Oryzias latipes: one gene and its partner. The protein of the gene in region 1 purifies or fractionates together with the protein of each later gene. This does not show direct contact. Links are inferred from orthologs where the notes say so. Each region holds a gene or a part of one and is shown on either strand. Other genes may lie near its edges.

Evidence for each region. Proteins that work in one complex are often made in the same cells at the same time.
Region 2: the proteins of casp2 (region 1) and p53-induced death domain-containing protein 1 purify together in Homo sapiens (affinity purification with western blotting; 5 studies listed by BioGRID and IntAct, with this or other methods). This does not show direct contact. The link is inferred for Oryzias latipes from reciprocal best matches to the Homo sapiens genes CASP2 and PIDD1.

What each region holds. Positions count from the first base shown.
Region 1 is NC_019874.2:20,114,586-20,117,914, reverse strand, and holds the end of casp2 (caspase-2), read right to left. Parts: intron 2,177-3,329; coding exon 2,067-2,176; intron 1,982-2,066; coding exon 1,847-1,981; 3' UTR 629-1,846; downstream 1-628. UniProt on the Homo sapiens protein: Is a regulator of the cascade of caspases responsible for apoptosis execution. Might function by either activating some proteins required for cell death or inactivating proteins necessary for cell survival.
Region 2 is NC_019864.2:15,844,141-15,848,730, forward strand, and holds the start of p53-induced death domain-containing protein 1, read left to right. Parts: upstream 1-1,617; 5' UTR 1,618-2,119; coding exon 2,120-2,765; intron 2,766-2,841; coding exon 2,842-3,255; intron 3,256-3,333; coding exon 3,334-3,486; intron 3,487-3,579; coding exon 3,580-3,631; intron 3,632-3,714; coding exon 3,715-3,916; intron 3,917-4,590. UniProt on the Homo sapiens protein: Component of the DNA damage/stress response pathway that functions downstream of p53/TP53 and can either promote cell survival or apoptosis.

The sequences.
Region 1 (3,329 bases):
TAAAAGAGCAAAAAAAGGGTTTATTTGAATTCAATTTGCTGCGTTACGTCTAGAAAGCTCTTTTGGTGCGCTCCGTGAGGGCCCCTGATCCCTCACAGATAAGACTATGCAGCTCCCACGGCAGTCCCCCTCTTCTCTGATGACAAGGACAGGAACAAAAACAAAAACAGGGAGCCCGCCCCGCTTTGTGGTCCACACGCCAAGCGCATATCAAGCTCATCTCCAAGTTCCATCTGATGCCAGCCAGAAATGTGTTATTTTGACCGCTGTGTGTTTAAGTGAGTGTGTCAAGGGAGAGTGACTCTGGACAGCTGGCTGAGCCTCAATCTGATACACTCAGAACATTATCAGTGGGTGGCGGCAGGCAGCGCCAGCGATACGTGTGGGAGATGCATCCATCTCAGTCGCAGCCAGAGGAGACCTCAGCGCAGTCAAAGAGTGGGGAGCCAGTTACACTATACCTGAGAACGGAGGGGGGGGGGGCTATACGCCGGCAACAACACACCCAAACACAGCAACAAGGAGGATCAGATGCAGCGGAGCATGCACAGGAGAAGCCGCGGTGTACATTCGGGCAAAGGCCTCACATTCCACATAAACGCAGCGAGAAAATCAAACGTACACTTTGTTTTCTTTAAAAGAAATTGAGTTTTATTGTGTATCTGGCAGTCAGAAGTGATGACACAATCTCCTCAAGTCCAATAAGTCTCATTTTACTCATTTGCAGAGATCCTTTCTATAGACTGTACCTCCTGATTAAGAGAATAAAGCTGTGCAAAGAACAGCATCTTCACTTACAAATACTGTCTGGACCACATGTGGGCTTCTTTGTTTTTTGTTACAACACTGTGGTGACTGAACACAGTTGGTCCTGGCAGGGAACTTCCTGTCCATGCTCATGCACCTTTCATATACACCGCATGAAAAAATGGCTGAGCAAAGAGCCACGGAGGCGCAAGCAAAGACCTTCCCTCCATCCTGTATCAGGTACGGTCCCATGGACCATGAAACTCCCACATTGAGAGAAACACTAGAAATGAGTTTGAGTTTCTGTTTATGAATGTAGCACCAAAGTTTAGCCCATCAGCCTGACATGAACAGGAGGACTTCACCTGAAAATAATGAGTGTAGATATTCATGTTTAAAATGCTGCTTTTTTGAGTAATAATACACAGGTTTTTTAAAAGAAATTACTAATAAAAACTTCAAGACATCCTTTAGAAGTTGTCCTGTAGGTTAAGGGATTTTTTTTATTTTTTAAAGTTTGATTTCAAACTTTTCCAACAACAAAAAAATAACTTTTAGTGACAAACTTCGGTCCTAACTTTACAGATTTACTTTAATCTCCAGAGTATAAATATTTATGATTAAGAGCTGATGAAAAGAATTGGTTTTTGCTGTGCTGCCACCTGCCTGTCAGTTTACTAAAAATACAAAAACACACACGCCTTTAAAAATCCTTACAAAAAAAAACGATTTTGTAGAAAATAAAGCCACAAAAATAGATTTGTGTAAAAACAAAAAAGCTTTTTTAAAAATAGTGATTTGAGAAAGGTCTGAGTAAATGTGGGGTTTGACAGAAATCAAATACAAACCCACTAACTGGCATGAGGACAGACACACATATATATATAGAAGAGCATGATTTTACTTGTATATTGTCTAACCTGCTCGTCTTTTTTCTCCCAATACTTTCACGTGAACGCCTGTCTCTGGAAGAGGCGGGTCACGGTTGGTCTCTTGTAACAGGGAATGTGTGGCAGTAGGGGGCATTCTCTGAGCTGCCGTGACGGCCGTGCTTGGGAGGCTGCACAAAACCGTCAACCTAAAGTGCGCTTTTTGCATGTCAACACTGGGGCTGGTACTTGGGGAAGAGGTAAAGGTCTTTGCAAAGTGAGCTGGTGAACTCTGACATCTCCTTGCAGCGATGGTGGGCTGTGCCGGGAGCGTAACCCTCCCTCTCCTTAATACGTTTGTTGACCTAAAAAAGCAAGTTTGACATGATTAGAAAAGCCTTTGATGGGACTATAGCAAATAAATTCATTTTTAAAAAGTACATCTGTCACCTGCACGAGGATGTCAGCGAGGTGGGTGTCTCTGGCATTGAGGCGGAGTGCTGTATTCAGTTCCTGGATGAACCAAGATCCTTTCTTGGTGTTTCGCATGGCTGCTGTGCCTAAAAAAGAATATTTAAAGGTTATAAAGACCAATGGAAATCATGTTTTTGGTGCTGTTAACATGTTCTTGTTGCGTTTTTCTCATGATGGAGGACATACATAAAGAAAAGTTAAAAATAATATTATTGTGGATCAGGGGCAGACGAAAAAACTACGTTTGAAAAGCAGCAAAGTTGTGACGTAGAAAATACTCTGGGCAGGCCACAAGTCACAAGCTCCCTGCTCCGCTCCATTCTGATGGATCCACTTGCAGACAAACAGATCCATGTACGTCTTTTTTTTCCTTCTTCAAGCTGGCATCTGGCTCAAAACTGTACGGCTGGATAGCTCCAATATTGCTCACCATTTTCGTTGGAACATTAATGTTAGGTTAAAAGGGTGAGAGGCTGTGACCAGGCAGGTGAGCATGTAAATATAGAACTCTCACAAACGGGAAGGGGAAGGGAGACCGGGGTTGCTCCACGCCAGCAGTCCCGCCCACAACTCAGAGGTGAATTTCTAATAAACTACTGCCGCTCTGCAGAAACTATGTCCTGGGAAAAGTGTTTTTGATTTTGGCTAAAAATGACATTTATAATGAGTGGGACTTTAAACAAGCAGAAAAGGACAAAGATGTTTCAGTGAAGAATGGAAAAAGATTAGATCGCCCACTTGTTTATGCCATGCCTAGAAGACTTGGCGCTGTCCTTAAACATACCGGTGCTCATACAAATTACTGGATGTAGTAGTTTTTGTTCCAGGGTGTATTCATTTTTGCTTCAACCAATTTAAGCAAAACTGAAGATTATGTGATCTAAGATAGATCATTAACCTTTATTTCATGTAATAGAATTAAAGAAGTGTTCAATAAAACTATAACTTGTGGAAAGTTTGGAAATTTTTCTTTTGTTCATTGAGTTACTGATTAAATTAATACTTATTAAAGTGGGTGTAGTCATTTATGCTGAGCACTTTAAATTTCACTTTTTACCTTATTTTCCCAAGTTTGAAACCAACCAAAATAAACTTAAAACATTCTCAGACTACATAGATTGAAAAAATAAGACAATCTCAATAATTAGAAACAGCTTTTTTTCACGTTGAAGAAATGTTTGTAAAAAGATTTCCTCTTTAGGACATGTCGACATAGAAATCTATTCTTTCCTGGCTCCT
Region 2 (4,590 bases), on another chromosome or scaffold:
AACCCCAAAGCTGTTTCACAAAAAATACTTTCATACTTTCACATCTATGCTATACACATATAGAATAGACGTTAGAATAATAAATATGATAAATCACAACATTTGTTTCTCATTTTTAGTGAGGTGTTGCCACACAAATCACCTTATTGGTTCACACTAAGGTAATAAAAAAGACAAAAATATATATATATATATTTTAAACGTAGCAAACCCTTAGATTAGTTTATTTTGGATATTTAACAAATGGAATGATGAGGGTTAAAAACATGTCTGCAATTTTTTTTAGAAAAAGGTGATTTTCTGTCTTTTGGACAAATTCAAGATATATTTAGAATATCACACCAAGATTTTTTAGGTTTTCTCCAGAACTTTGTTCGGACCTCTCTTTCTTTCCCAGGTAACCAACCAATCCTACACCCAGTAGAATTCTTTCTTCTCAACTTGAATAAAAATGCCTCCTCCAAGAAGAAATTCCTTTCTCTCTGCTCTGCTATGGCATCGAACCCTCTCACAAGTGAGAAATCTGGGTATCGTTGGGAGGCAGATTTGGGGATTGAACTTGATGTTGAAACTTGGTCAAATGCTTTTGTGTGTACAAAAAAAACATTTACATGTAACAAACTCAGGGAAAACCAATACTGAATTTTACACAAGACCCAATATACTCCACAGGTTTTAGGATTCAACCACAACGCTCATCTCTCTGTATAAAGTGTAAAAACACTGTAGGAACTTGCTATCACTGTGTTTGGCAGTGTCAGTTGATCTCCAGATTTTGGCAAACTGTTGCTACAGGGATCCGCTCAATTTTTTCGTAAATCTTTTGCCCTGGACCCTACTTTGTTTCTTTTAGGCCAGTCAGGAAGGTTGCCTGTGTTACCTGGAAGTATGAGGTTGATCCAAAAACCTTTACACCTGCCTAGGAGATGTATACTGCTACAATGGATACAAGTGAAACCTCCATCCGTTACTCAATGGAAAGTTTGTCCGATGGAACGACTCAGTGCCCGGTTAAAGGGTAACTCCGACATTTTTCTACAAGACGTGGCAGCCTTATCTGGATCACCTCGAGAAATAGCTGATATACTTTGTTAAAGGAGGCTCACATTTTGTATTTCAAAGTAATAAGTGTTTTAAGAAAATATCTCAACATGTTATTCTAACCTAGATTTTGTGTGAACCTTTAACTAGTTAGATATCTGCTGTGCTGTGCTGGTTTGTGTTGTGTTCTTTTCTTACAAAGATAACAAAGTACAATTTAAAAAAAAAGATTAAAAAAATTACAGATGATATTTGAATATAACTTAAACCAGATCAAACCTACTGTTAGAGGAGGGCAGAAATAATTTATCCAGATTAGGTAAAGGATGGTTACTGACACTTATTTATCTAGAAAATAGACATGACACACTCTATTTACCAGGTTCTTAAATGATTAGACCAAAATATACATTTAGTTTCATATATAGAGGGACATTTGTATTAATTTAGATAATAAAACTTTTATTTAAAAAAAAAACAAGGCCTCACATTTTAAACAGTGATGACATTATTGTCACACAGCTAACATTTGTAACCAACAACGCCATCTAGTGTCCGTGTTGAGACAATGCCGCACACGTTTTCAAGTTGACAATGATGTCCCGCCCAGCGTTGAAACTTTGGCGGTGCCTTCACCGTGACGCTTGTTTTTGTTAGACACTGAACAAAAAGAGGGGCGGGACTTTCTCTCCACGCCATTTGTGTCGTGTGCAAACACCCGCCCCTCGCCAACCGGTAGACGCAGGAAATCTAAACGAACCTATAACTGTGACGTAATACCTCTACTTCAAAATCACTTGTTTCATCCGGAAGCTGTGTTTTTCGCTAGCTATGTAACTTTTTCGACAGTTGGTAAGCAAAAGAAAGAATGTAGCATGAAATAAAATGTAGTTCTAGTGTTGGCTTTAAAAAAAAGGCACATTCATTCCGTGGCTGGCTGAAAACGTATGTCGGTAACGGTTACCAGTTATCTTTGTTGCCACAGATTTGACATCTTTTCATCTGACGCACTAATGTAAACTTGAAAAGGACTTGTCAGTCGGCTTATTACTGTTGTCAAAATGTGTGAACTGTATTGATGGAGAGAGGCGGCGAAGGAGACCAAAGTTCTGATGAAGAAGAAGGTGGGGTCCAGGCGGCTGCTCAAAACACGCAACAGAATGAGTTGGAAGATGGAGAGAAGGTTGCTGCACCGGCAGCCAACCCGTTAAGTACACCAACCGAAGCTCAAAGGGAGCGGGGAACACTTTCAAACGGGGCTCAGGAGAATTGTGAGGAGGCTGGAGTCAGTATGTCACGTGATTTGATGCTTAAAAGCCAAGCAGGAGCTTTTGATCCAGAAAACTATGACAAAAGTGCATCTCCCTCAAGCCTTTTGGGTACTTGTGATCCATCCATATCAAACTCTTCATCCACCTCTTGCTCCTTCAGCCATCACGATATGGTGCTTTCATGTTCCTCCTCATCCTCCCATTCTTCTGGCTTGTCTCTGAGTCCACCATTGCCCTCCACCGTGGAGCTCTCGGCTGTGTTGACTGACACGAGACTGACCCTGGATGTGTACCCCGGGGGAGCAGGTGCATTGCCATTGCTATGGGGGTCCATTCCAGCCGAGCTGAGGGGCATCCAGTACCTGAGGCTTGGTTCTGAGGACAGATCCGGGCTGGACGGTGCCCTGAATGTGCTGTCAAACCTGACAGAGCTGCGCTCACTTGCTATCCGGGGTAATATTTCAAAGTATATTTGACATATCTGCAACGTTGTATTCGTTCTCCGCTGACCTGCCTTATTTTCTTTAAGGACACCGTCTGTATGACTCAAAGGGGACGCCTCTGCCTGGCCTCCTCACCACTTTGCCATCATCTGTGTCTTCTCTCACACACCTGGTGCACCTGGACCTCTCCTTCAATCAGCTGTCCTGTCTGCCGCCCTGCCTGCTGAGCCTGCCTCTGCTCTCCTCACTGCTGCTTTGTCACAACTTCATCTCGGCGTTGCCTCCTGAGATATGCCAGCTGTCCTCTCTAACCTACCTCTCCCTCCTGGGGAACATGTTGGAGTCCCTTCCTCCAAGTTTAAGTCAACTGAAGACACTGCAGGAACTTGACGTGTCGCACAACCTCCTGCAAAAACTACCTGAAGAAACCGGTGGTCTGAGTGAGCTTGTAAAGCTGGACTTGTCCCACAACAAACTAAAGCAGCTTCCAGAGAGCATGGGTAAGGGTTTAAGGGTGAGCAACATTTTTAATGATCTAAACCAACGTGAAGATATAATGTTCCTCTGTCCTCTTGCAGGATCTCTCTGTTCTCTCAGGGAACTTGTTATATACAGCAATCACCTCCGTATGGTTCCATCGTGTCTAAACAAACTGCCTCAGCTTAAAATAGATGCACGAGACAATCCTTTGGGAAAACCTCCAACACCTCCTCCTCTCCCTCCTACACTGGGTACAGATTGAAAGAAATCACACGGATTTTTCTCAAATAATTATCTGCTTCACACATTTATCAGCAGAACATTTGTTTAATTCCTTTAAACAGGTCGATCAGTGACAGAAATGCCTGAGTTGCACCTTGGATTTAATCAGCACAGGTACAGCGGGATAGTAACATTAAGAGCCATCTGATCATGTAATGCATTTGTGTCTATACTAAAGATTTGTCTATGTTCCATAGTTTTTGGGTTACTCCTGCTGGGTGTCATGTATTTCTTCCCGGGGGGGCTGAGCTGGTGTTCCCCTGCCGTTGCCTGCTGACAACTACTAGACTGAGCTGGGCGGAAAAGAGGCCAAACAGGAAGTGGGTGTGGCTGGAGGAACACGACCTCCTACTAAGTCGTCCACTGGAACTTCGTCCCCACGGTGTTGAATTTCTGAAGGTATAAATATGATATTCTTAGTTAAATGTATTTATTAAATGTAAACAACAATATTCAACCCAAACTAAATATGGTAAATGGTCTATACTTGTAAAGCGCATTTCTACCTTAGTCGAAAGCCCAAAACGCTTTACACTCTAAGTTCCATTCATGCACTCTACTGCCAAACACTGGCCCCAGGTTTCCACCAGAGGCAAGGTGGGGTTTAGTGTCTAACCAAAGGACACTTCGACACATGGCGGGAATTGAACCTGCAATCTTCTGATCAGAGGTCGACCGTCCTACCTACGGTGCACCACGGCCGCCTGGCAGTGCCCTCCCCCAAAAAAACCTGCTTTGGCAATGTCAACATCACGGAATATAACTTTATTTTCAAAAATAGTTTAAATCTGTAAATTTAAGATAATTAGATATATTCATTTAAAATTAATGAAATGAGCAATATGCATATGATTATTTGAAAAGAAAACACATTTGCTGCCTTTTACCAGTGACAAGCATGTATTTGGCTGCACGGTGGATCAGTGGTTAGCGCCCTTGTCGTCGTCAAGTCCTTTCTGTGTGGAGTATGCTTGGTCTCCCTGTGCATGTGTGGGTTTTCTCTGGGGACTCTTTTCAAAAACATGCTTCAAAGGTTTATGGGTTACTCTAAATGGTCCCTAGTTGTGAATGTG